7 linked regions of the Coturnix japonica genome follow. Each later gene encodes a partner of the first gene's protein in a complex. Links are inferred from orthologs where the notes say so. Each region holds a gene or a part of one and is shown on either strand. Other genes may lie near its edges.

Evidence for each region.
Region 2: SGF29 (region 1) and TADA2A share a complex: the UniProt entries of both Homo sapiens proteins name them as parts of the ADA2A-containing complex. The link is inferred for Coturnix japonica from reciprocal best matches to the Homo sapiens genes SGF29 and TADA2A.
Region 3: SGF29 (region 1) and YEATS2 share a complex: the UniProt entries of both Homo sapiens proteins name them as parts of the ADA2A-containing complex. The link is inferred for Coturnix japonica from reciprocal best matches to the Homo sapiens genes SGF29 and YEATS2.
Region 4: SGF29 (region 1) and KAT14 share a complex: the UniProt entries of both Homo sapiens proteins name them as parts of the ADA2A-containing complex. The link is inferred for Coturnix japonica from reciprocal best matches to the Homo sapiens genes SGF29 and KAT14.
Region 5: SGF29 (region 1) and KAT2A share a complex: the UniProt entries of both Homo sapiens proteins name them as parts of the ADA2A-containing complex. The link is inferred for Coturnix japonica from reciprocal best matches to the Homo sapiens genes SGF29 and KAT2A.
Region 6: SGF29 (region 1) and MBIP share a complex: the UniProt entries of both Homo sapiens proteins name them as parts of the ADA2A-containing complex. The link is inferred for Coturnix japonica from reciprocal best matches to the Homo sapiens genes SGF29 and MBIP.
Region 7: SGF29 (region 1) and TADA3 share a complex: the UniProt entries of both Homo sapiens proteins name them as parts of the ADA2A-containing complex. The link is inferred for Coturnix japonica from reciprocal best matches to the Homo sapiens genes SGF29 and TADA3.

The regions. Positions count from the first base shown.
Region 1 is NC_029530.1:7,882,920-7,886,957, reverse strand, and holds the start of SGF29 (SAGA-associated factor 29), read left to right. Parts: upstream 1-1,238; 5' UTR 1,239-1,294; coding exon 1,295-1,369; intron 1,370-1,563; coding exon 1,564-1,639; intron 1,640-1,848; coding exon 1,849-1,921; intron 1,922-2,160; coding exon 2,161-2,225; intron 2,226-2,404; coding exon 2,405-2,534; intron 2,535-2,932; coding exon 2,933-3,079; intron 3,080-3,318; coding exon 3,319-3,354; intron 3,355-3,773; coding exon 3,774-3,936; intron 3,937-4,023; coding exon 4,024-4,038. Other genes in the region: melanotransferrin-like, read left to right, coding at 1-121, 780-820. UniProt on the Homo sapiens protein: Chromatin reader component of some histone acetyltransferase (HAT) SAGA-type complexes like the TFTC-HAT, ATAC or STAGA complexes.
Region 2 is NC_029534.1:7,318,326-7,321,099, reverse strand, and holds the end of TADA2A (transcriptional adapter 2-alpha), read right to left. Parts: intron 1,804-2,774; coding exon 1,618-1,803; 3' UTR 501-1,617; downstream 1-500. UniProt on the Homo sapiens protein: Component of the ATAC complex, a complex with histone acetyltransferase activity on histones H3 and H4. Required for the function of some acidic activation domains, which activate transcription from a distant site. Binds double-stranded DNA.
Region 3 is NC_029524.1:683,461-686,960, forward strand, and holds part of YEATS2 (YEATS domain-containing protein 2), read right to left. Parts: intron 2,894-3,500; coding exon 2,635-2,893; intron 2,228-2,634; coding exon 2,066-2,227; intron 566-2,065; coding exon 450-565; intron 1-449. UniProt on the Homo sapiens protein: Chromatin reader component of the ATAC complex, a complex with histone acetyltransferase activity on histones H3 and H4. YEATS2 specifically recognizes and binds histone H3 crotonylated at 'Lys-27' (H3K27cr).
Region 4 is NC_029518.1:13,436,109-13,440,360, forward strand, and holds the start of KAT14 (cysteine-rich protein 2-binding protein), read right to left. Parts: upstream 2,801-4,252; 5' UTR 2,540-2,800; coding exon 2,284-2,539; intron 1,741-2,283; coding exon 1,622-1,740; intron 170-1,621; coding exon 48-169; intron 1-47. Other genes in the region: protein PET117 homolog, mitochondrial, read right to left, coding at 2,801-2,950, 3,152-3,247. UniProt on the Homo sapiens protein: Component of the ATAC complex, a complex with histone acetyltransferase activity on histones H3 and H4. May function as a scaffold for the ATAC complex to promote ATAC complex stability. Has also weak histone acetyltransferase activity toward histone H4.
Region 5 is NC_029542.1:4,442,098-4,445,204, forward strand, and holds the end of KAT2A (histone acetyltransferase KAT2A), read right to left. Parts: coding exon 3,030-3,107; intron 2,950-3,029; coding exon 2,839-2,949; intron 2,753-2,838; coding exon 2,609-2,752; intron 2,409-2,608; coding exon 2,294-2,408; intron 2,186-2,293; coding exon 2,149-2,185; intron 2,021-2,148; coding exon 1,957-2,020; intron 1,856-1,956; coding exon 1,771-1,855; intron 1,595-1,770; coding exon 1,401-1,594; 3' UTR 501-1,400; downstream 1-500. Other genes in the region: probable ATP-dependent RNA helicase DHX58, read right to left, coding at 11-178. UniProt on the Homo sapiens protein: Protein lysine acyltransferase that can act as a acetyltransferase, glutaryltransferase, succinyltransferase or malonyltransferase, depending on the context.
Region 6 is NC_029520.1:33,096,286-33,099,785, forward strand, and holds part of MBIP (MAP3K12-binding inhibitory protein 1), read right to left. Parts: intron 3,148-3,500; coding exon 3,082-3,147; intron 2,215-3,081; coding exon 2,062-2,214; intron 1,464-2,061; coding exon 1,366-1,463; intron 39-1,365; coding exon 1-38. UniProt on the Homo sapiens protein: Inhibits the MAP3K12 activity to induce the activation of the JNK/SAPK pathway. Component of the ATAC complex, a complex with histone acetyltransferase activity on histones H3 and H4.
Region 7 is NC_029527.1:9,002,121-9,006,356, forward strand, and holds TADA3 (transcriptional adapter 3), read right to left. Parts: upstream 2,801-4,236; 5' UTR 2,691-2,800; coding exon 2,484-2,690; intron 2,376-2,483; coding exon 2,125-2,375; intron 1,998-2,124; coding exon 1,892-1,997; intron 1,704-1,891; coding exon 1,562-1,703; intron 1,442-1,561; coding exon 1,338-1,441; intron 1,255-1,337; coding exon 1,145-1,254; intron 1,061-1,144; coding exon 875-1,060; intron 808-874; coding exon 615-807; 3' UTR 196-614; downstream 1-195. Other genes in the region: ARPC4 (actin-related protein 2/3 complex subunit 4), read left to right, coding at 3,253-3,255, 3,383-3,501, 3,654-3,765, 3,839-3,934, 4,045-4,215. UniProt on the Homo sapiens protein: Functions as a component of the PCAF complex. The PCAF complex is capable of efficiently acetylating histones in a nucleosomal context. The PCAF complex could be considered as the human version of the yeast SAGA complex.

The sequences.
Region 1 (4,038 bases):
GATCTGCTTTTCAAAGATGCTACTCAGTCCCTTGTTCCTGCAACTCACATGAGCTATCGGGAAATCCTTGGAGAACCTTTCTTTCAGCTGGCAGAGTCAGTGTTTAATTGTACACCTGCAGGTAAAGTCAAATTCTTCATTCTGAATTAGAGAAAAATGCAAAGCAGAGGGAAGTTTTGTGTGCACAGGCACGGCCCTCTGGTTTATGCCAACTTCAGAGGTAATTTCTACATAACCTTGTTAGTGGAGTGTAATATCTGGAGTGTTGAGAACTCTTGCAGCTCCTATCTGTAAGCACTGCAAATGGGGGTCTGTGGGGATGATACAACCAATGCAGGTCAGAGCAAATATAAAGTTATTGAAGTGGAATTGTCTTCCACTCAGAAACTTGTTCTTCCTATCCCAGAGGTCTGGGTATGTCAGGGTTAGGGGAAATAACTCTGTTTCTGATAGAAGACTGCACTAAAAACTACACCAGAGTTAAAGATCTCATTGTACTTAAATGAGAGTTTGTTCACTACTATATACTGAAAGCTATTTTGTATTTAGTTCTGACTAAAACTAAATGAAACTGCTTATCAGTCAGGGCTGAGCTTGTTAGGGGCCCTGGGGATCTGTGCTGAAGTAGCTGCAGCTTGCACAATGGATTAGGAAGTTTAATAGCTGTTAGAGGACTGAAAGTCAACAAGGGAATACCAGCACTGTTGTGTTGTAGTGAACAGCAGCAACTTTCAGGGCCGATCACATCTTTAAGGCCATGTTCTCCTATTGGTTTGCAGGCATCTTGGACTTCTGCAGACAGGACACCTGTGCTCATTGATCTGACAGCTGCTTTGCAAGGCAAGAGCCGCCACCAATGTGAGAACAAGGAAATCAGTCTAGTCCTGCCTGTCTGCAAGGAAACCGTCACCCCCGGCCATGTATGCTGATTATCTTTTATCATAACCTTTGTTTTCTGCAGCAAGTAGATGTTGTTTATGGTCATGTAATACTGCTCCCGTGTCGTGCCGTTCCCGTTTGCAGCAGGGGTCGATCTGTACCATCCCTTCATTGGGGTCGATCTGTACCATCCCTTCATTGGGGTCGATCTGACCCATCCCTTCATTGGGGCGCAGCGCTGCCGTGACCGGCTCCGTTCAGCGCCGAACTCGTTTCTTACGTCGGTGCTGCCTCCGTGTGGCCAAAGCGCGGAACTGCACCGGGACGCATGCGCAGTGCGATGTGCGGGCTGACGCACAGTGCTCTGTGTCGCCTGACGCATGCGCAGAGCGCCCCGCGGCCCGTCGGTGCGGCCATGGCGCTGGTGTCGGCCGACTCGCGGATCGCGGAGCTGCTGTCCGAGCTGCAGCGGCTGCTGGGGCACACGCAGGTGCGGGGCTGGACGCACAGAGCGAGCGGGGCGCTGCTCTGCCGCACCGACACCATCGGGCCGCTCTGGGGGCGGTGCGGGGCTGTAGGGTGCTGGTTCGGGGCGGCGCTTTGTCGCACGGGTCCGGATTTGGGCTGTGGGGCTGGAGGTGGGGTGGTGGTGCGGGCAGCCCCCGTCATCCCGCTGCATTGCAGGAGGAGCGGTCCCGCAGCGAGCACAACCTCATCAACATCCAGAAGACGCACGAGAGGATGCAGACCGAGAATAAGAGTGAGAGCGGGGCCGGGCCGAGGGGCGGCGTGAAGGGGGATGAGGGGGCAGGGCTGGGAGGAGAGCAGGGCAATGGGGAGGGGAAGGGGTTCAGAGAGGAGTGTTGGGCAGGGGCAGCTTTGGGGCCGGGCTCGGGAACGGGGCGGGGTTTGGGGACAGCGTGTTCGATGGGGACTTGGTTTCACAGCGTTCTTACCTCCCCCCTCCAGTCTCGCCGTATTACCGCACGAAGCTGCGCGGGCTGTACACCACCGCCAAGGCAGATGCTGAGGCCGAGTGCAAGTAGGGCGGCCCCTTCATACCCACATCCCCATACCCTACACCCTTACCAACCCTACACCCTTACCAACCCTACACCCTTACCAACCCTACACCCTTACCAACCTTACACCCTTACCAACCTTACACCCCACCAACCCTACAGCCCACCAACCCTACACCCCCACCAACCCTGCACCCCACCAACCCTACACCCTGCCCCGTGCCCCCCATACATGACAGCTGCCCTTATGGCTCTGCAGCATCCTGCGCAAGGCGCTGGACAAGATCGCTGAGATCAAGTCTCTGCTGGAAGAGCGCCGCATTGGTACGTGCCTCCATTGAGCCCCCAAGTGTCCCTGACCCCCACGTGTCCCTGACCTCTCTTTTTCTATTTTTACACCCCAAATCCCTGGAATTACGCCCAAATCTCCCTCTGTATGCCCCCCCCCACAACTGCCCTCCCAATCTTGGTGTCACTGTGTCCACCCCCCCACTGTGTCACAGCTGCCAAGATCGCAGGGATCTACAGTGACGCGGAGCCGCCGCGCAAGACGATGCGTCGTGGCGTGCTGATGACACTGCTGCAGCAGTCAGCCATGACGCTGCCGCTCTGGATCGGCAAGCCAGGTGACAAGTAGGTATTCCCGACCCCACAAGTGCACTCTTCCCCACAGGGTGCCCTAAACTCCCAGACCCACACTCCATCATACCCCACATTGTGCCCTGAGCTCCCAGTTCCACTGGAGTTCTGGTTCTGGACTCAGATTCCAAAGCACGGCCCTAACCCCATGCCTGACATTTGGATCCATAGCAAATCTCAGCCCCACCCTGGGAAACCCAACCCCATCCAGACCCCATCCTGACCGTGCCCTCACCCTTCCTCCCCTCTCCCCCCATCAAACCCCAGGCCCTGTTCCCTGACCCCTGTTGTGGATTGCCAACACCCCCCTGACTGCACTGCAGAACCCCAAACCCCAGCCCAGCCTCACCCTCTAACTCCCACCCACCAACCCACCCCCACCTCATTCTCAGGCCCCCCCCACTGTGCGGTGCCATGCCGGCAGCTGGGGACTACGTGGCCAAGCCTGGGGACAAAGTGGCGGCACGTGTCAAGGCCGTGGACGGCGATGAGCAGTGGATCCTGGCGGAGGTGGTCAGCTACAGCCATGCTGCCAACAAGTGCGTGGAGGGGGCAAGGGGGCGGCAGGTTGGGTGTGGAGGGGAGCAGGAATATGTGTGTGTTGGGGGGGGTTTGAGTGGGGCCGGGGGGGCAGTTTGGGCACTTTGGGGGTGTGGGGCATGGTGTGGAGCACTGCACTTGTTGCTTGTGGGGCCGTGGTGTGCTCTGGGATCGCAGCATTTCCCCTTGTTTTGCTGTAGTTCAGTCCTTTCTCCTTTCTCGCTTCTCCCCACCCCAGGTATGAAGTGGACGACATCGATGAGGAGGGCAAAGAGTGAGCACCCCCACTCCACAACTGCCCTCTCTAACCCCACAGCTGCCCCCGCTCTCAGGCAGCCCCCAGCCTCCTCTCCAAGCCCTCCCAATCCCTCCAACTCCCTCCTTATCACCCCCTAACTCTTCCTAACTCCCTCCAAACCTCCTCAAACCCCACAGAACACCCCAACTCCCCACAGCCCCCCTCCCCATGTCCCCCACGCTCCCAGTTCTCCACAGAACTCTTCTTGCTCTCACCAAATCTTCCCAGATCCCCTCGGCGCACCCCCCCAGACCCCTCTAGCTCCTCCCGAACTCCCTCCCCATACCCGCCACACCACAAAGCCCTTCTCAACCCCTGCCCCCAAACCTGCTCTCCACACCCCTCATCTCCCCCATCCCCAGCCCGTACCCATTGCTTGCTCCTCCCTTCTGCAGGAGACACACGCTCAGCCGGCGCCGTGTGATCCCTCTGCCACAGTGGAAGGCCAACCCTGAGACCGACCCCGAAGCGCTGTTCCAGCGCGAGCAGCTGGTGCTGGCACTTTACCCACAGACCACCTGCTTCTACCGTGCCCTCATCCATGCACCCCCGCAGCGGGTACGGCCACATTTTGCCCTGGAGATGGGCCCTGCCGTGCCCCCAGCTCTCACTCATTACTGATGCTGTTTTCTGCCCCGCACACAGCCGCAGGATGACTAC
Region 2 (2,774 bases), on another chromosome or scaffold:
CTCCTGCTGTTGTTTGCTCAGGTCCCAGCTGGTGTTATTAGCATTGGACCCAAAAATCTGCCATCGCGGTGTGACTGCTGCTCACCTGACCTCAGGCTGCGGTGTGGGCTGTGCCATGGTGCTGTGTGTGCCCCGTGTGGGCAGAGGTTTGTTAACCCTTCATCCTGCAGTACGGGAGTGTTGTGCTGGAGCCTGGAAATGAGAGCAGGAACGAGGAGGTGCTGAGCGTGGTGCAGGCTGGCAGCCTGCTCCCTTCCCTGCTTGCGAGGTGCCCTGCAAGAGGAGAAAAACCTGTTGTTTTTCTGCTTTGATGCTGTGAGGGAAACTTCCCTGCCCCGTTTCCCGTTGCCTCACCTCTCCTACTTTCCCTGGAAATGAACGCTGCTTTCTGGCTCCCTGTTATCCAGAGGGATGCAGCTCCTCCCCTCTTATGGCAGCACAGAGCTGGATGGAGCAGAGGCAGCTCTGTCTTGGAGCCCAGGAATACCCAGTGAAGATCATTTCAGATCCAATTGATTTTATTACAGACCAAAATACCACACATTCAGTGGCACCTCAGTACCCAGGATAATTACATTTCTGGGGGGGGGGGGAAGCAAAAATCTGAAGCCAAACATGTTAAATATACATGAACATAGTTACAGCTTGGGCTTTGCAGCGTGAGAACCCAGACCTGAGGACACACAGAGTGAAGCAGAGATAGCGGGGCCTCCCATCCAGGAGGGCTGAGAGCACGTGGCCTGGTGTGTGCAGTGCTGCACTGCTCTCCTCTCTTTGGTGGGAGGGAATGATGGGGAATGGAGTGGCTGCTTGTTGATGTTCTGGAAGGCAGCTGGGGCTGTAACACACAGCCTTTCATCACGAAAGGTGGCATGGCCTTCCTACGGAGCCACAGCAGCCAATTCAGACTTCAGCTAAAGGATTCTACATAATGTGACCATGGCAAATGAAGTGGCAGCAGATGAGGCTCACTGGTTCGTACAGCACTCTCATGCTGTGATATGTGCCAATATCACATAAAAGTAACAACTGTGGAGGAGCTTCCCCACGATGTCCTTTTGCATCCTTTATCATAATTTACTTAAAAGGACTGGACTATTGCGAGCTCCTTCTTTGCACCCTCGGGCATGTGCTGTCTCCTTTGAAAGCTGGCACTGTTTTAGGAAGGCGTACGAGGAGGGAGGGCACTGCATTTCTGTACCTGCGCTCAGGCTGAGTCAGTGTGACTCTCATGTGCTGCCCTCCTGTCCTTGTTCTCTGCACTGCCAGAATAAAAGTGCTGCGATTCTTTTACACACGAGATGTGGGAAAGGAACAGCCATTCATCTTACAGGTTGGCTTCGATGACACAGGATTCTTTGCAGTGCTACGTGGTGTGATTCAGACAACAGCACAATTAAGCAGCATAGTCAAAAAGAGACCAGACAAAGAAATGTCGGCGTTCGTACCATCTGACAAAGCCTCCTGCTTGTTTGTACCAAAAAAAAAGAGGCCCAAAAGATCTGAAACAATAGAAAATGTCCTTCATTGAACACTGTTAAAATCTCCCAGTGCTGTCAAAATGTCTTCAGAGCTTTTCCATGCCCGTGTGCTCGAAGCAGAGCGCCGTGTCACTCCTCAGGCCTTTGTGATGTACCCTTCCCTGATAAGGAAGTCATAGATTTTCCTTGTTTTGTTCACATCGATCTTGATGAGCGCTCTCGCCTGCGCAAGTCGCAGCCCTCCTTGTTTGTTGCACTCGTTCACTAAGGCAGCTTTGTATTCTAAATAGGCTCCGGGGACCAACCTCACCATCTGACAGAGCTGGAAGACAAAGGGGAAGTTAATAAGCGCTACCACTTGTCCTGCTCTCTCGTTCAGTGATCACTGCTGGGGAACTAACGTTGTGGATGCCTTCCTGAGAACAGCTGTGCTGTGTTTTGTGGTGGGGGGGCAGGCAGCGACGGCAGTGCGGGCCTGGAGCCGCAGGTGGGCAGGGAGGAGCCCATGGCTGCTATATTTGAAAACATTAAAACTGAGAAACAAAGCAGGGGATGAAGGCGAGCTGCGGGCTCACAGGAGCGTGGCTCTGAACGTGTCCATGTGGGCGTTGTTCTCTACCAACCCAGGGATGTTCACATGCCAAAGAGACGCGCAAGCAGCAATTCAGCCGTGGCGGGCATCCGCCTGTTAATCCCCAGCACACAAAGTCCTTAATGCCATTCTACAAAAGCAGCTACGCACACATTCACCCCTCCTGGAAATCTAGGGTGGAAACCGTGCAGGGAAGCTGTGTGCTGGGTTTGGATGCTGGGCAGTGCTGGGCAGTGCCGTGGAGCTGCTGCCAGCAGCGCCTGCAGTGCTCCCATCCACTGCCAACAGCAGCTGCTCCACAGCACTGCATCCAGAGGACACGTGGGCTGTCTCCTCCTTTTAATTAGGAAATGCTTAACGATTGTTTGGTAAGAAATGGCAGAATTCAGAAGAACTTCGTTCCCACTGAGAAGGAAACAGGTGCCCATACACACAACAGTGCAGAATGCAGCCGTGGTGGCACGTTCTGCAGTGAACCTCTGAGCTGGCTTTCAGTGTTGCCATCCCCAGAGTTCAGGAAGCCATCTCCAGTCAAAAAAGTCTGAAATAGATCCACGTTTCACTGACACCAGAGTGTGCCCTGTGCACCAGCACAGCTGGCTGAGGGCTGAGGTTTGGCTCTGAGCTGCACAGTGTTAGAGGAACCGCACTGCTCAGGTTCAGCGAGGTGTCCAGGCAGCCCACAATGAAATCCTCTGCCA
Region 3 (3,500 bases), on another chromosome or scaffold:
CCTTCATTCACCCACTGTCATGCATGGATCCCTTCACGTGATCTTCAATTTTGTCACTTCTTTTTCACCCTTGCTGTTTCTCTCAAATAACTCCTTTATTCTTCTGTCTTCACAGCTTTCCTACAACTCCTACACAACCTACCATTTAAGACAGGTCTTCCACATTATCTTTGTCATATCATCTCTCTTATTTTGGAGACCCCTGCTCCCCTGCCACCACAGGCTCTTTATTACTCTCTGAAAACCACTCACTGCTTGCCATGAAAAATCATTCCATGCTACTTTCTCAGTCTGCAAGTAGCTGAACCATGTACCACTCTGTAAGGGGAGGTGAGGGGCAGAGATGCACACGTAGCAGTAGCAAGTGCCTGACAGAGAAAACAGCACTGCTTGCTAGAGAGCAGCCTGAAATGCCCATCCATTCCAGATAGGGTGCTTGTGCCACTGACCTGGGGTGTCTGCTTCAGGATGTAGGATGTATAGGTGAGGTGCTGGGACAAGTTACTGCTTGTACTTTGGGTTCCTCCTCCTCCTCCACTATTTGTAGAACCACCAGATTGGAGACCTGCAACCAGAACAGAAGGTTTGGCTCTTCTGCAACCCGACAATGTCAGCTGCTGAAGTAGTCCTGTACATACAAGTACCTGAGAACAGCCTGCAAGATGCTTGCTGAGGCATGTTATATAGCTGAGTACTCACAGGCATAAAAGCCGTAATTGCACAGCAAAACACAGTTCAGATGTGTTGCTGTGCTCTCTGAAAGCTCAGCAAATGCAATGAACAAAGAGAGACATGGGGAGAATGAAGACTACTGGACATACAAAGCTCATTAAGGGCTGCTGTAAAGTTTCTATCAAAGAAAATGCTGTACAACAGATAGACAGTGTTTTGTCAGCAGGCAAAAGCCCTGGAAACACAACAAATCCCACGGGCTTGTTAATTTTACTTTTGCTTGCTGTTCCAATGCAGTTTTGTTAACACAGAGTATTTGATCACAGACTCTAACTGGTGGTGAATAACATCAACATCTTGATACTGCTCTGCCTCCAGAAGGAAGAGAATGGACACAAACATGTTGTAGTCTCCCACTAGGAAACAAAGGTTGAAAACTACTGATGGCTCTGTCATAAATCACAACTATTTACTCTTCCTCAAGCCTCAAGAGAGCATTTACTTGTCAAGATTGGACTGCCATCTAAATCTTAATCTCCCATCACAAGTTCTACAGCCCGGAATACCATCATCAACAGTATCCAAGTATTCAGTGACACTCTGCTGCTATACTGCTGGTGTTCACCTTCTTACACAATAAACTGATTATCTCTCCCCCACTGCCAGCATCAGAACTTGCAAGCAAATACTTTGCACCCAGTCCATCTACCTCAGCCTCAAAGAGAAGCGTTCCAGAGAAGGCTCACAAAACATTTCCTATAGCAACAGCACACTATAAAAAAAGAAGTATCAGCCCTCAGGACAATTTTAGCAATGCTGTTCTCCAGGTATTTCACAATACCTGCAAGCATGAAACTTGTGAAAGCAAGTTTTATTCAAAACTCTATTCTATCTATTATATTGTTACATCTAAACAAATTATTTCTGCTGGTGTCAACAGCTTGAAATCAAACCTTTTACTGAAATCTATTTCTTTCTCCTATTCCAGGTATAGTTATCTTGTCCCTCTCAGAGCTAGTTTCCCAGAGTCTCATTCTGTTACTTACTAATAGCTTTGAAATCAGCAACAGTTCTGCATTATAAGAATGCAGGTGTCTCTCCCTGTATACCAAAATAGAGAGAAAGGCTTCACTGTGAGCTCTGAGAAAAACTGCACTACCTTCAGCACAGAAAGATACTGGGAGTTCCACATGCAAAGCAATACCATCTAAAACAGAAGGTACTTCTGACAACCCAGACTTATAAATCTCCACATACTGTGTTTCTGTGAACAAAGAAACTTCCTTCTGTTACTGACTTTCACAGTACCAGGATGCAGTATAGCAAGAACAGCAAACATTAATTATGCAGTGATTACATTATTTAACTCATTAGATTTCCCTGCAAGACTAACTAGCATTATTTGTGGCTCGCAGAATGGCTCCCTGGGGTATGAGAAGAAGTTTTCCTTTGCCGGAAGGATTCTTGCTGTTGGTGGTGAGGTACAGTTTGGTGCCCGGTGGTAAGTTAGCCAAGTTTGCCAAGTTGGTGGCTGGTAACTGCAGTGTAGCCATCACTAGAAAGAAGGAATAAAACAAAATTACTCCTTGAAGAGGCCAGCACGCATTGAAATCTGCACAGAATGAAAGCACTGGAAGTTCCACATATCTAACCTTCAATGTTTAGCTATTCTAACAGCAGATAAAATCCACCAGTGATGCACAGACACTTTGAATAGGTCTGGGAAAAAAAAGAATAAATGAAACCCCTGCATGGTCACAGGCCAAAGAAATACAGTGGTGGAATCTGCAGGCTTAAGTTTACAGGCCACAAAGCACATTTCAAACAGTCCAGAGTCTGAGCTAACATGCACAACTCAAGCCAGCTGCTGGATTAGGTTTTTCCATCACATAATTGTTTTAGAGGTGAAGGAATCATTACAGAACCACAGTGAGCCATTAACAAGGTGTAAAATTACTCTACCTGATCCTTGTGATGTACTTTTCTGAGCACCCGTGGAAGTAACTTGCGCCTTTGTTATAGTCTGCACAGGCTGAGCTACAATTGTTCCTCCACCTCCACTCACGATGGCTTTGGCTACACCTTGAGTCACAACCTGTTTTGGACCAACAGCCTTTGCCACTGAAGAACCAGACTTTGCCACAAGTATCTGGCCACCGCTGATAGCCACTGCCTGCTTCACTGTTGACTGCAAAGCAGAACCAACTGGAACACCAACAACCTGCAACAAAGAAGTACTGGATGATGTGCCACTCAACCACACGAGTTCTAACTGGTACGCTGCCTTCATTTCTAGGTATTTCAGGGTAATTTCTATAAGTCTACTTGCATATAAGGTTCTTTATTCTGAAACAGAATTGGACTGGCAAGAGGCCAACCCCAAGTAAAGAGCAAAAAGCTATTAAACACAGCCAGGATTTCAGAGTACCCACAAAAGATTAAATACATTCACATCACAGGGCAACTTGATTTTTCTCTGATATATGAGCAATGGATTAATCCCAACTAAGGATAAAGATTGCCTTGGTGGAAATCCAGAGATTTAATTTCAACTCATTCATGGGAACAGACTCCCTGGGAAAACCATGGCCTCAAATTAGAATCTGCAGAGTGCATTAATTTTGTGTGTTGACATATTGGCAGGCAAACACAGGGTTTGCATACCTGCTCCAACAGACAAATAAGGCAGTAAAAAGGGCAATGCGAGCATGTATTTACACATGAAAAATGCAACCCTCCATACACAGCCCATTGTGGTCGGCACACAATTTCACAATCTCCACAATGGAAACAGGCAAGAAAACAGAAACTGAGATGCCTGTCATCTT
Region 4 (4,252 bases), on another chromosome or scaffold:
CACCAGTTTTAATTCATTCATCTCACCAGGACACAGCATATCTTTACCTGTTTCCTAATAAGAAAGTCCAGTGTTTCTCAATAAAAGCACAGATATCTTCTTTCCATCTGAAGTACCCCTGACGGCCAGTTCCTTCCAGAGACAAATTGTACATTGCCAGCATGACAACCTGGAACAGAAAGCAATGGAAACCAGTGCACCTTTTCTGCTTCTCCTGGTGAGCTGCCTTATGATGCCATGCACACACACACCTTTGCAGCCTCATAAATATCTTATTTTTGCAACACCTCTTAAGCAATTTCTGCAATCTTTCTCTTTCATGCTGTCTTTCCTCATCTCTCTTTCTCTTTCATGCTGTCTTTCCTCATCTCTCTATCGTTAAATGAAAATTCTTCTGTCTTTTCCCCCCACCAAGATTTGACCACCGTAGGAGAATAAAAGCTGCCTAATTATGCAGGTTTATGAAGAAACACAAACTTCTGCAGAGTGGGAAAAACTGATCATATCGCAACTGGGACCTGAATGCAGCGTGGAAGTCTAAATAGTCTTTTTCAAAGACAAAAAGAATTGTGATGAGCAATCCCACCACCTTATTCATCAGAAACATAGCAATCAGAGTCTTCCCAGATAGTTACCGTTGCGTACCAAACTGAACGCAGGTTAAACTATGTAGAAATCACATGTCATCTACTAATATTTCTTGGTATGCGGCAATTACGTTTGTCTCCAAATCACAGAATGGCTTGGGCTGCGAGGGACCCCAAGGATCTCCAAGTTCCAAGCACCCTGCCTGATAAAGATGTTGAAGAGCACCAGCCCCAAGACAGACCCCTGGGGGACACCACTCGTTACTGGCCTGCAAATGATGCTCTCAGAATTGACCTTCATTGAAAAAATCCATTACAGCACTTCTACATGCTTTACAGCCTAATTCAGTCCAACCAACTATTGGAAAGGTTTGGAAAGAACCACATCTCTTTGTGAGTAAATCCCAGATGACCAACTGTTAATTATGCAGAATCAATTCCATACTTCAGACAGGTTTGCTCACTTCCCTCAATTCAACGTACCCCAAAGGAGCAGCACCTGCACCCTCCTGGGAGCAACACACGCATCACTCTACCCACGCAGTGGCTGCCGTATAATGCAGAATATTTTGATCGCGCAGGCGTGTAAGTGACTGGACTTGCAGAATCCAGCAACAACTACTGTTAGTAAGCAAGCAGCCAAGTTAGAGCTTTGCATTCAGGGAACTGGCAAGCTTTCTGTTTGCGTGCTGCCACCTCGCTAGCTTTGCATTCACTCCTATATACAAAAAACTGTTCGTGCCTAGAAGCTACATTGCATTTTGCTTTTCCACATTCGCCTGAAGCCATGCAATTCATGAGCAACATGAATGAGGAGCGAAAAAGGAGAGGAATGTGGTTTGTGTGATTATCTTGCCACTTACTTGCCAAATACTCAAGCTCTAATCTGCAGGCAATTCTCAACTAATTAATTTCTGAAGTTCACTCATGTTTGTCATCTATATCCAATCCTCCTTTTCTAGGTAATGAATACATAACAAACAACAATTCTATAAAGTGCTGGCACGTTTTCCTGGCACAAACAAGGTACTTACTTGTTGCCAAGTTAATCTCAGCCGTTCAAATTGTTCTTTCCCATCTTCTGAGCAATCAGAGCAAGTAAATCTGAAAAAGTTATCTCCTTTGAGGTAGCTGAGCTGTTCTCTCAGTTGACCTAAAACCAACAGACAAAAGATCAAACTTTCAGCCCTTTCACGTGAAGGAAAGCTGCAATGTAGCATCATTTTAACAGTACTGTGCTGGCTCTACTGTATTATTAGCAATGCTCACACCATGCCTTGCAACATTTCTACACTAAACTTGTGGCGAGTTTTAGGATGGCAATAAGGGCAGCCCCGATGCAGCTGCAAAGCAGATGTCAACTGAAGAGTTCCATGATTCTAAACACAGAAATAAAAACACAACAGCAAATCGATAACAAAACAACAACAAAAAGCAGTGCTTAGCAACACTTAGGTTTTGGATCTAATAATGTGTCCATTCCAAATTCCAGCTGTCCAGAATTTCAAAAGTAAAGCCTGTTTTTTAGCTAGCACCATACATCTTATGTCAAGCAGCAACAGCAAAGGAATCAAGTTATCTAGCTTACTCCAAGCACCCCCCAGTGCCAGATGCTACAGGTTGGACACGCTTCTGCAAAAGCTCAACTAAACTCACATTATCAGAAAACAAGAAACAGCAAAGCCAGCCCTCTTACTTGCTGGAATCCACTTCTGGCACTTCTCGCAGTAGTAGGACATCTCCTCCATCCAGGACACATCACCTTCATCGCTGTTCAGTGAGTCTCCGCTCTGGTCGTGGGATAAATCCACCGAGGCCTGGTCCTCAGACTCTACAATCAGAAGGGTTTCCCCTTCCACCTCACCCTCCTCCAGACCCTCCGACGTCGAAGTCCTCGTGGCTTCATCATCGTGTCGGCTCAGCAGCCCGCTCATGTGGACGTTATTAGCCATCCTTCATGGCCTACAGCAGCACAAGGAGCCTGTCCTCCCTACATTCACACGTCCATCCACACTGGCTGTGTCAAGTCTCCACAAGTACTAGTGATGGAAGAAATATTCTGCTGTGCCCTATGGCTTCTGGTACAGGAATATAATGTGTCTGAAATAAACAGTCTTTCACAGGTGATGTCTGTTTACTGAAATACTTGAAAGTAATTAGAATTCAATTGTCCCAAGTGCCTCGAATCAAACCTCTAACAAGTCAGGTCCCACCTAGGGCTGCTGGGATCCCTTTTCCACCAGCATCTTGTCTCTTTCTTCCGTAAGCCGCTTCGTCAAAGCGATCTGCTCTTCCAGCAGGCGAATGTTTTCCCTTTTCTGACTCTGTCTCTCCAGATCTCTGAGCACACCGCTGTGCAGCCTCTGGAAGCACAAGGGACAGGGTTCATCACTGCCTGTTTGATTAATAAAGCTAGTAAACCACCTCTGTGAGGCCAGCTGAAGACCTGTTTACATTAAGCCCTTCACTCCCAAGCTGTACCTTGCATCTGACAGCGCTAATAATAAGCCAACAGACCAGAGGGCACCACACGGCTCCGGGCCTGCCCGCCCGCCCTCACTCACCTCACGCTCCCGCCGCTGCTGGACGTGCACGGCCGCGATGGTGGCGGCGGAGAGGAGCGCGGTGACAACCAGCACCGCCCGGGAGCTCCTGGACATCGCCGGGCACCACACACCGCACGGCCGGGAACCGACCGAGCCGCAACCAACGGCACAACGCGGGGAAAGGCGGGACAGGCTGTGAGGGGGAAGAGCGGCCCGCCCTGCAGAGCGCTGAGCGCGTCGAGCAGCCGCAGCCCTGAGCAGAGGAAGGACGAGAACGGCAATGGAGCCGTGTAATGGTATAGCAGTGGGAGCAGGGCGGTGTTCGAGCCCCTGTACTCAGCTCTGGTGAGGCTTTGTGGTCAGTGCTGGGCCTCTCACTACAGGAAAGATACTGAGGCCCTGGAGTGTGCCCAGAGAAGGGCAATAAAGCTGTGAGGGGTCTGAAGCACAAGGCTTACAGAGAGAACTGGGATTGTTCATTCTGGAGGAGACTCAGGGGTGATGTTATTGCTGCCTACACCTGCCTGGATGGAGGCTGTGCTGAGGTGGGGGTTGGCTTCTTATCGCAGCTAATAGCAATGGGATGAGAGGGAATGGCCTCAAGTTGCACCAGGGGAAGTTCAGGTTGGATACTCCCCTAAAACAGGTTAATCTATTTCCAAGTAGAGCGTGGAGGTGCTGCGCCATAGTCAGCTTTGGTGATGGACCTTCGCTGTGAGGAGGTGGCCAGGGCACATCCCCTGTGTAGAACAGGAAAACTGAATGCATAAAGCCAGTCCTTCCTTGTTGTAATCTTCTTCATCTGTCTGCTGAACAAACGTGATTAAAGTGAAAGGTAAAATTAGTGAAAATGATAGCATTTCAATTTAGTATAATAGTTTTGCTCACGTTTGTATGTTTACTGTTATTAAGATGTGCTTAAGTGCTTGTAGCACGGCCAAGGCTGGCAGGTGCCAAGAACAGGGTTGGGCCAGATGTAGAGTGAGTGTGAGCCAAGGCACGGCGCCTTTGGCACCATGGAAGGGCACAGCTCGCCCAGCTGGGAGCCAAGTGCCTCTGTGTGAGCCTGGCATTAATCATTTCAGGGCCCAGAACCCCACACAGGGAATGTTCAGGCTG
Region 5 (3,107 bases), on another chromosome or scaffold:
CCCCGGGCACCTTGTTGACCAGCACGGCCACCCGGCCGCCCCGCCGCCCCTCCAGGTGCCGCCTGCAGACGTGCACGGCCGCGCGTGTTTTGCCGGCGCCCGTGGGCAGCCACACGATGCTGTTGCGGCCGCGCAGGGCCGGGGCCACCGCCTCGATCTGGTACCCGCGGAGCTCCATCGCCGCGTCCCGGCTGGGAAACGGAGCACAGGAGGGAGGGAGGGATGGATGGAGAGGAAAGCGGGGCCGCCCGCAGTGCCGAGCTGCGCTGGAAAAGCCCCGTCAGAGCCGCACCGAACCGCAACCCCCGGGCCACCCCCCGCCGGGAGCCTCGGACCTGAATTGAAACCGAAAGCGGGCGGAGATCCGCGGCGTCATCGCGCTCCGAGGGCGGACACGCGCCCCATATCGGACCCGTGCACCCCAACCACCGCCCGTCCTCTGACCCACTGCCCCCAACCCCCAAGGTCCCGCTGCAGGGTCAGGCGCAGGGACAGCCGGCTCTGCACAAGTACATTTAATTAAAAAATAAAAAAAATAAAGAAAACTAATCCAAACAAAACAGTCACATGGAATGGGCGGACGCGAACAGTGGGACGGTCTGCTCCCACCCCAGCAAGGCCGGTGAGCCTGCAGAGCAGCACCAGAGTTCACACAGCAAGGACAGCACAGGGGGTAAGGCAGCAGGCGATCAAATGCGGGACAGGGGAGGGGGACACATTAATGCTACGTGGGACGCACCCCAGCACAGCTCCCAGGGAGGTACAGGGACACACGGGCACAAGGAGGGATGCACACAACAGCCAGCCCCAACCCCGGGGCTGCAAGACAGCAAGGGAAAGGGGGGTTAGGCCCCCACCCACAGCAAGGAGTTGGAAGAGCCCCCACCACTCCTTGCAGGGCTACAAGCAGTGGGGGGAGAGCAGGCGGCTGTGCTCCTGCAGGAGGGAAGAGCTGACAGAGGCAGCAGGAAGAGGGGAACCCCCCAACTCAGCACCTCTGCCCTGCAGCCTGGGGGGGCAGGGAGGTGCCCCACAGTACATTCAAGAAGAGGGGCAGGCGCTGCCTGTGCATGGATGGGAGCAGGGGCTGAGGTCCGTGCAGAACACCAAAGCACTTGTGTGCCCCTGCCCTGGCACCGAGCGGGGGCAGAAGGCACAACCCTGGGGGGAGAGGCAGCCCTGCTCCAGTCCCCACTTCCACAACCCCCAAGAGAGGGACTGGCAGCACCGCAGCTGCCCAGCCCCCACCCCCCCAGCAGCAGCAAACCCAGCAGCAGCCCCTGCCCACAGAACAGGGCCACATCCCTGGATGGCCCCTCCGGGAACAGCAGCAGCCCTGCCCCTCCCTGCCAGCGGGAGCAGGGGGGGTCGTGGCAGCCATGGCACATCCAGACCACCCCCTACTTGTCAATGAGCCCCCCTTCCTTCAGCTTGAAGTAGAAGAACTTCTCCAGGGTGTTGGCACACTTGCAGTAGTCGCTGTCGGGCGGGTTGTACTCGCGGCAGTTGGTGATGATGCGCTGCAGGTCGGCGATGAACAGCTTCTTGGTGACGTAGTAGCGGTTCTTCAGGCGCTCAGTCATGGTCTTCAGGTCTGGGGGTGGGAAGGAGTTGGGTCCCATCACACAACTGTGCCCCCTCCCACCACCAGCCACAGCCAGGGGGGACCCTGATGGGTCCCGTTCTGCTGCCTGGCTGCCCCCTGGGACACCCTCTGCCCAGCACTGCAGCAGGGCACGCTGCAACCCCCATCAACCCCCAGGTACCCACCAATAGGGAAGCGGATGATTTCGTAGTAGTCCGGTGCCTCTGACTTCTTCACTGGCTCCATGAAGGGCCACGCACTGGGATGGGTCTGTGGGAGAGGAGCAGATTTACTGCATCATCCCCTGCCCTGTGCCTCCCCTCCCAGGGACAGCATGGGGGATGGCACAGGAGCGTACGCCCGCCCTGCACCTTGATCTGGGCCAGGAGGTTCTTCAGGGTGTTGTAGAGCTGGTCCGGGTCCTTCAGCTCCTTCCTGCAGGGCAGAGCAGAGCCCATCAGCACGAGGATCGAGCACCCCAATACAAGGCTACCTCTGCAGGGCCAGGCGTGGCACAGAGCAGGAGCCCACAGCTCCAGTGCACCCTGGGACCCTTCACTCACCCCTTCTCCTTCCCCAGTGGTTTCCAACCCGTTTCTCCTGGAAGGAAATGGTCAGCATCACCAGAGGGCTCTGCCCCCACACATGTAGGGCACTGCACCTCACCGAGGGGTCACCCCCAACCCCCAGGCAGCACAGAGAGCTCACGGATGCCGGGGACACTCTCAATGGGGATCTGCCGCACGCCCTCCTTGAAGCAGGTCAGGCCAGGGTAGACCTTGCGGATCTGTGCTTGCTTCCTCTCAATCAGCTTCTTGATGATCTGCAATGAGAGAGTGGCACATCAGCATGCACTGCAGGACATGAGGCCCTGACAGACCCGGAGCAACAGCCAGGAGCAGCCCTCCCCACCCTCAGATGGCATTGCAGTGATCCTGTGTGCATGGCTGCACGGCTGAGTGAGGGATGGTTCCCAAAGGCTGGCACTCCCCATCCCCTCCCTTCTAGGGGGGTCAGAGGTACCTCCTTCTGCTTCTTGATGATGTGGGAGAGCTCGGTATAGGGGATGCGGGGGTTCAGCTCGCACTCCATCAAGGTTGCCCCCTCATAGTCCTTGATGTAGCCCAGGTAGCGGCTTTTGGGGACCTTGATGTCCTTGGAGAAGCCCTGGGAGGGGATGAGAGGTGGGAGGGAGCTCAGGGACAGAGGGTCGGGTTGGGCTGGTGGGGGGAGCAGCAGGGAAAGGAACCCACCTGCTTCTTGAAGTAGCCAATAGCATATTCATCTGCGTACGTGAGAAAGTTGAGAATGTTGTGTTTGATGTGGTACTCCTTCAAATGGTTCATCAGGTGTGTCCCGTAGCCCTGGGGGGGCTGCCATGAGACAGGGCCCTCACACCCCCAAGGCAGCTTGTAAGGACCCCCCAGGGGGGTCACGGCCTCACCTTCACTTGCTCGTTGGATGTCACGGCGCAGAAAACGATCTCGGTGAAGCCCTGGGAGGGGAACATGCGGAAGCAGAT
Region 6 (3,500 bases), on another chromosome or scaffold:
TGAGGTGGTTGAACTTTTCTCCTCTTGCCAGAACAGCTCTAAAGAAAAGACAATCAAAACAGACTTAACATTACACTGACTGGGGATGTTACTGCAGGCAATTCTGAAATCTGCAGTCTGTAACAATGTTGACAAGTGTCTTAAAAGTACAGAAAGAACACTAGCTGCCATTTCAAAGATTATAGAAATCTTTTTATATTAAGTGTACTTTAGATCATGAAAAATATCATTGGAGAGCAGTTAGAAGCTGTCAAAGCTTCTCTGTACTTGGCAGCTAACACGTTCACCAGCAATTTAACTGGAGCTTCCTTCAGTAAAAACAAAGATCAATATCCTGCTCTTGAAATTCTCAATATTTTTGTTTAAGATTTTCCTGTATCCACACAAATATTTATGCAAATCTCTGAGAGGGAAAAAAAAAAGGCAATTAGTCCACAATACTAATCTTGCCACCATCACTTTCTTTCCTCCCATATCCACATAGACATAGATCCTAAAGTACTTTCAAAAGAAATTACAGCATATGAAAGTCCATGTTTTTAAATTCCAACTCCCTACAACTTGAAGGAATGGCCTCAAAGAACAAGAACTTTATTGGCCTCCAGCATAGAGAAAAAACAAAACAAAGAATTGTATTATGGAGGTCGATCTTTAAATCTTGTTTCCTCTTTGGTGGGTTGCCAGAGAAAAGATACTGTTGATCATATTGTAATTTGTAAGAAATATTTTGACTAATTATTGCATAGGGAAAGAAGGCAGAACAAAATATTAGGTGAGAAATTTCTGCAGTTTTTACTGTAGTATAAACCAGTGTTCTTATTGCCCAAATCTCCACAGGTAAATAAAGGATCCAGTCTATTATTTATAAAGAGACAGAATTTTGCCTGTAGACCAGCAGTAAACAAACCAAAGTCATTTAATTACCTGAAACAGACAACTTCTGAATGGTTGCTCTGACCCTCAGAAATCATACCATGTACAGAAAACCAAAGAACTGCAGCTGATTTCTAAGCCGTTAATGACTTGTATGAAGATCAAATCTGCAGTTAATTTCCATGTCATTATATACACTTCATATTTTAGGGATTAAAAAAAAAAAAAAAAGTGTGCTGTTTATAAGAAATCTCTCAAGAATTAGTTAAGCTCAGGTATCTGCATTGTTTTTTCCCCCCCAGCAAGTACTATTTTCTTTCAAATGACAAGTTAGGTAGAACTATGAACTTGCATAGATGGCCCATACATGAAATGTAACTGTTACACCAAGCCAGAGTTGTCTATCAATAGCAGCTACACTGTAACCTATTCCATCTTTATACATCAAACAACAATTACTTAAGTATCCATTAGTTGAGAAAAAATTCTTACTACGGATTGAAAGTATTCAGGAGACAGTCCTTCCAGCTCAAGAATTTTATCTTCAAGCTTCTTAATTCTCTGATAAATGTCTCTTGGTACAGGACCACCTAAGTGCAGCAGTACAGAGAAAAATCAGGAAAATCACTTAAATAACACTTTAAACTAAAAGATGGCAAGTTTTTCATTCTTTGAGTCCAGCTAGCAACCAGCGCCTGACAGTGAACAAACTGGTGGGAAAATGAAAGGGAAGGGCAATTAATATAAATCACAGTAAAATCTGGTTGATAAGCCACTACGATCTGCCAAGGCAATAGACAACTTCAAAGTTGAGTATATGACTGAAAAAGGCCCTGGAGCAAAAAAAAAAGTCACTCTTAAAACACAGACACCCATGCAAAGTACCTAATGTATGCTAGGTAGGATTCTACAACATCACAACCACTGGGTATTCCAACCAGAATGACTGCCTTGTCCTGACCAGGATGTGTATTTATCAACTCCACATCCTAATCTGGGAATAAATCTGTATTTCATTTCGGGCATATGGTCCAAAATATTAAGACTACAGTACTTGGGTGATAAAACTCTTTAATGCATCTAGCCTACTGTTTTTACTGTCACAGAACTTACTGGCTTGCCCAATTTTACTACAGGAATGTAGCACAAATTGACACATCTATGTCAAAACTTAAGTGTGGTACGAACCTGTTTGTAATCGTAAGTGCGCCTCAATGTTCTGCAGTCTCTCCTCAACAGCTTGGTTTCCACAATCATGAACAGGTACACTGGCTTTATGATTGGACCCATGTGTTCCTTCAGATCTAGTCTGTGGCCCATATGTATTTACTACCCTAGAAACTAAGTAAAGAGAACATAAATTTAACACACATGCACATGAAACATATCAATATATGTATAATTAAAACAAAATGTCATTAAATAATTAGTATTACTAAAACCTGAAAAGCTGTGTGTTAAATCTATTTCACTGATCTTGTATTTGAAGGGTCTCACAAACACCGAGATCAAAAGTTCAGTGTAAAAGTCCTTATTTTTAAATACATCAAACTAAATAAAAAACAAGGACTCTACATTTGCAAAGAAAGAGGAAAAAAAACACCACATTCATGTCATCAGCTGCAGATAAACAGCAGTTATAATCACAGAGAATCCTGTGAGCAAGCAACCTTTCAGGCATGCTATCTGCTGTACAGTAACTTCTTCATCAGTCACACCTTTGCAAAAAATAGTGCAGTGGTAACTTTGTTCATCAGATTCCTAAGTCTGTCTTGGAACTTCCAGTGTGCCCCTGGATTATTTTCCTAATTCAACATAACTACATTGAGATTAATTTAAAATAGAAGATAATTTTATTTAATTGATTTCTTAGCTGGACTGACGGCCTTACCTTAGCAGAAAAGCTAAGAAATGCTCAGCTTCTCTGACCTGCTTTATGTTTTTCATCTTTGCTTTCAGGCAATGACAACAGGCTACTCATCAAAGGATTTGGTATTCAGTGCATAACCAATAGCCTACTGACGAAATTATGGGATAAAAAAAGACTTGAAGAGGTAAGGGAAGACTTAAAGTATTTGTTAGAGTCATAAATCAATTTGTTAAGTATCCACTTATAAGAATGCTGGAAAAAAAAAATCTAAGCCAAAATTTATCAGTACTGCTCTAACTTAACATTCTTAATAAATGGATATGAAAAGAGTTGCTTACCCTTTATATGGCTTTTAAATCCAGGATAGGGTGTGAAAATAGCATCTGTTCTGGCACAGCTATTTTCTAAATAAATAGTAATAATAATAAGAAAAAAAAATAATAATAATAAAAAAAGAAGAGTGAGGCCCCTAATTATGTATTTACAATTTAAAATATTCTAACCATCATCAGTTTCAAAACCAATCTAATCTAATTAGAATTTTTCATACAACAAAAGCATCAGAAATCATTCACACTATAAAAACATGCTCGTACATAATTTTACTCACTTGCATGTACCTATCAGTTTTACCTGGCTAAGTCACCTCCACAAATATGGACACACATATACATGAGGGTACTGGATCAGGATCAAATTTCTTCTATTTCTTTTTTAATTTTTAGATTTCATTGTGTTGTTCTGTCATTTCTTTCTT
Region 7 (4,236 bases), on another chromosome or scaffold:
CTCCTGGCGCGGCGCCGCCGGGCAGCAATGACGTCACGGCGGGGGGGCGGGACCTGCCCCCCGCTCAGCCAATGGGGGCAGCGGGCGGTCAGTGCCCACGCGTGACCGCGGGCCGCGGAGGGGCAGAGAATGACGGGGACAGAGCGAGGGGCGGGAATGGAGACATGGGACGGTACCGACACCAGCACAACCCCGCAGCCCCCAGCACCGCACGGCACACCGGCAGTGCCAATGCTCCTTTATTGCCCTCACCGCACAACACACGGTACAGCCCCGTCCCGCTCCCCGCCGCTGTCCCCGGCTGTTCCCGGCGCTAACGAGGCCCGGCCCGGCTCCCAGCCGTGTCCTGGCACAGCTCCATTGCCCAGAATAACCGCGGCAGCGGAAACCAGAGGGCGGCTATGGCTGCTCCAGGGATGCTCTCGCCCAGTCCCTGCGGTTCGGTGGCTGCGGGTTGGGCCAGGAGCAGGACCCAGCCCCGTGCACCCCGTCCCGACCCGCAGCGATCCAGGCAGAGCACAGGTACAGCCGGGAAGCTCCTGTGCTCACAGCGCCTCCAGTCCGTGAAATAAAGGGATGATGGCAGCGTTGTGCAGCCCAGTCCTGTCCCCCCGCTACCCATCCAGCAGCTTGAGGATGCTCTCACGCTCCTTCAGCGTCTTCCACGCCTGGTCCTTCTCCTTCTTGGTGGGGGTGCGCTTCTTCTGCCTGGCCGCCATGATCTTACGGAAGGCGTCCATCACCTCGTTGTCGGCCATGCGGACGCGCTGCCGCAGCTCCTGCCGGTGCAGCTCCTCCTTGGCCAACCTGGGGACACAGAACATCAGTGGATGCTGCTGGTGCTCAGCCGGCCCCATGCCCTGCCCGCACTCACCGCAGCAGCTCGTGCTTCTTGGCGCGGTTGTGGGCGCTGAGCGCCTTCAGCTCCGCCTGCCTCTTGCGCAGCTCAGCCAGGACCTCATCCTCCGAGTCCTCGGCGGGACGGTCCTCAGACTCCAGCAGGCCCTGAGCCACCAGCTCCTCCTTGATCCGCCCCTCCAGCGACTTGGTGTGGGGCACGCTGTGAAGAGTAAAGCGGATGCTTCCTAAGCGTTCTGCCCCGATTTGCACAGGGAAAGCAGCAGGCAGCACTGCAGCAGCTCACCTGAAGGGCTTGTTCTGGCTGCGTGGAGAAGTGCCAGCGCCATCGGCTCCTGAGTCCTTGCCAGCGATGTCGGGGATGGGCGAGTCTTCCACAGGGGAGATGATGTTTTCCTGGCAAGCAGAGCACATGGGAAAGGTTCACCTCGCCCTGGCAGCACCTCGCAGGGCCACTGCACAGACCTGAGCTCCCTCACCTCCACCAGGGCCTGCAGGAGACGCTGTGTCAGGGGTCCAAAGGGACATCCATCCTCAGGCTGCTCGTGCTGGGCCTCTGACTTCTTCAGCAAGGCGTCGACATCTGAGGGGATGCAGGAGACAGTTGTGAGCAGCCCCGGTTCTGTGGGAGCTGGATGCCAGCCCCCTGGTCTCACCACACAGCTTCAGTGCAGTCCATCACAGATAGGGGATGGGACAGCACCTTTGGTGTCCAGCTCGGTCAGTGGTCCCAGAACACCCTTCTTTTTGTCAGCCGCAGCCGCTGCCCGGGCTCCATCCTTCTGCTCCTCCAGCAGGTCCTCCTGAGCCCAGCGCTGTGAGTAGTGCTTCCCCAGCGGTGGGATCTGCAGCACAGGATGGGCCATCAGCACAGGGCTGGGGTTGTGCTGAGGAGCCCGTGGGTCAGCACCACCCCAGAGGACACGCACAATGTTCACAGTGGGGTGTGAGTTCTTAGCCTGCCCAGGGATGGACAGTGCAGGGCAGAGTATGGGGTGAGAGAGCATGGGCTGGGGGCTCTGCAGCTTGTCACCTTGTAGTGCTCAGCCTCGTCCTCTGGCGGTTTGAGCAGCTCCTCCAGGACCCTGACCTCCTCATTGGTGAGATCGGCGCAGTACGGCTCCACTGATGCCCAGAACCTGCGAGGCCAGAGCAGAGGAATGATGGTGATGGGGAGCTGTGATGGACACTTTGAGAGCAGCTCGTGATCTCCTGCACTACAAGGAAGGAAACATCCAACCCCAACACCCCCATCTCCCCATTCACCTGTTCGGAGCATCGTTTTTAGGGATCCTCGGCACATCGATGGGGTCATCCTGGAACTCGTACTCCTGGATCTTGGGCTGCAGGTTTTTAGACTTAGGCCTGCCGGGCCCAGGCCCCGTCCCGTGCCCCCCTTTACCCTCCAGCTTCTGCTTCTTGGGCTTGCCGTGTTTGACGGAGGTGCCCACGTCGTGTTCCTTGCTCAGCTTCAGGAAGCGCCGGTCGCCCTTTTTGTCCTGCCAGTCCGTCAGGATCTGGAATAGAGGAATAACGTGTAGGGTCGTGTGTGGGGCGGTGATGGGGTGGGGGGTCACAACACGGACACGTTACACGTTACACGTTCCATGTTCCACATCCCACACCTGTGTCTCTGCCTCCAGTACCCGCAGTCTGCGGCTGGCTGAGGACAGCAGCGTCTCCAGCTCGAGCTGCAGCGTGTCCAGCTCCTCGATCCCGATACCATCGTCCTCGGACCGGGCCAGCACGGCCGTGTACCGCGGGCACACCTTCACGTGGTCCACAGACTTGAAGTCGTGGAACTGCAGCGGGCAGTCCTTCAGCTCGCTCATGGCGGCACCGGGTCGGAACCGGGCGGCGATAGAAGCCTGTTGTCCGGTCTCTCGGTGCCGCCCGGAGCTCGGCGGGTCCCGGCGGGGGGCGGGCAGGGGGCAGGGCCGGGGGGGGCCGGGTTTACATTGGGCCGCTCGGCTACTTCCGGCCCCCGCCGCTTCGCCCCGCCCCTCTCTCCCCATTGGCTCGGCCCCGCCCGGTGCACGCAGCCGATTGGTTCGCTCGTCTCTCCTTCTTCCTTTCCTAATATGGAAGCGCCGTACGGAGCGTACCAAGAGCGGCGGGATCGCGGGGGGGGTCGAATCTCGCGGGGTTTCGCCGCCGCCTCCAGGCGCTGCAGCCGCGCCCCGTGACCGGCCGGATATACACACAGATACACATATATACACATATATACATATACACGGTGTGGGGGGACGGGACGGAACGGGGAACGGAACGGGAACGGAGAGAGAACAGAGCGCCCCCACACAGCTGCGGGTTGGGCCCTCCCGAGCATCCAGGAAGAGACAGCCGGCCACTTCCGGTTCCGCTTCCACGGACCGGACCGGAGCCGACACCATGGTGGGAGCGGGAGGGAACGGGGCGGGAGAACGGGGCGGGGGATGGGGGTGGATGTGGGTACGGGGATAGGGGGGGACGGGGCTGGGGTGGGCCCGGTCCCGGTCCGTGACTGTGCCGTGCCCCTCAGACCGCCACGCTCCGCCCGTACCTGAACGCGGTGCGCGCCACGCTGCAGGCCGCGCTGTGCCTCGAGAACTTCTCGTCGCAGGTGGTGGAACGGCACAACAAGCCCGAGGTGGAGGTCAGGTACGGGGCTGTAATGTGTGTCAATGGGGATGGACACGGACACTGCCCGCACTGTGTGTCAATGGGGATAGACACACGGACACACGGACACTGCCCGCACTGTGCCTGCAGGCACCGAGCGGTTCCATGCTGACCTTCCTTTGCTCCCCCAGGAGCAGCAAGGAGCTGCTGCTGCAGCCCGTGATCATCAGCAGGAACGAGAAGGAGAAGGTGCTGATCGAGGGCTCCATCAACTCCGTGCGCGTCAGCATCGCTGTCAAACAGGTGGGGATGGGCTGGATGGGGGCTGGGAGCTTGTGAGAGTGTGAGGAACCTCGTTTCCCTTTTGTGTCTGCAGGCCGATGAGATCGAGAAGATCCTGTGCCATAAGTTCATGCGCTTCATGATGATGAGGGCTGAGAACTTCTTCATCCTACGCAGGAAGCCCGTAGAGGTGAGGGAGTCCCAGGGACCCACAGCGCAGATCTGGACTGCACCATCACTGTGCTGCACTCCCACTGTGCTGCACACCCATAGCTCTTACACTGCTCCTCTCTTCCTCAGGGCTACGACATCAGCTTCCTCATCACCAACTTCCACACGGAGCAGATGTACAAGCACAAGCTCGTGGATTTCGTGATCCATTTCATGGAGGAGATCGACAAGGAGATCAGCGAGATGAAGCTGTCTGTCAATGCCAGGGCCCGCATTGTGGCAGAGGAATTCCTCAAGAACGTAAGGCTCCGGGGATGCTCC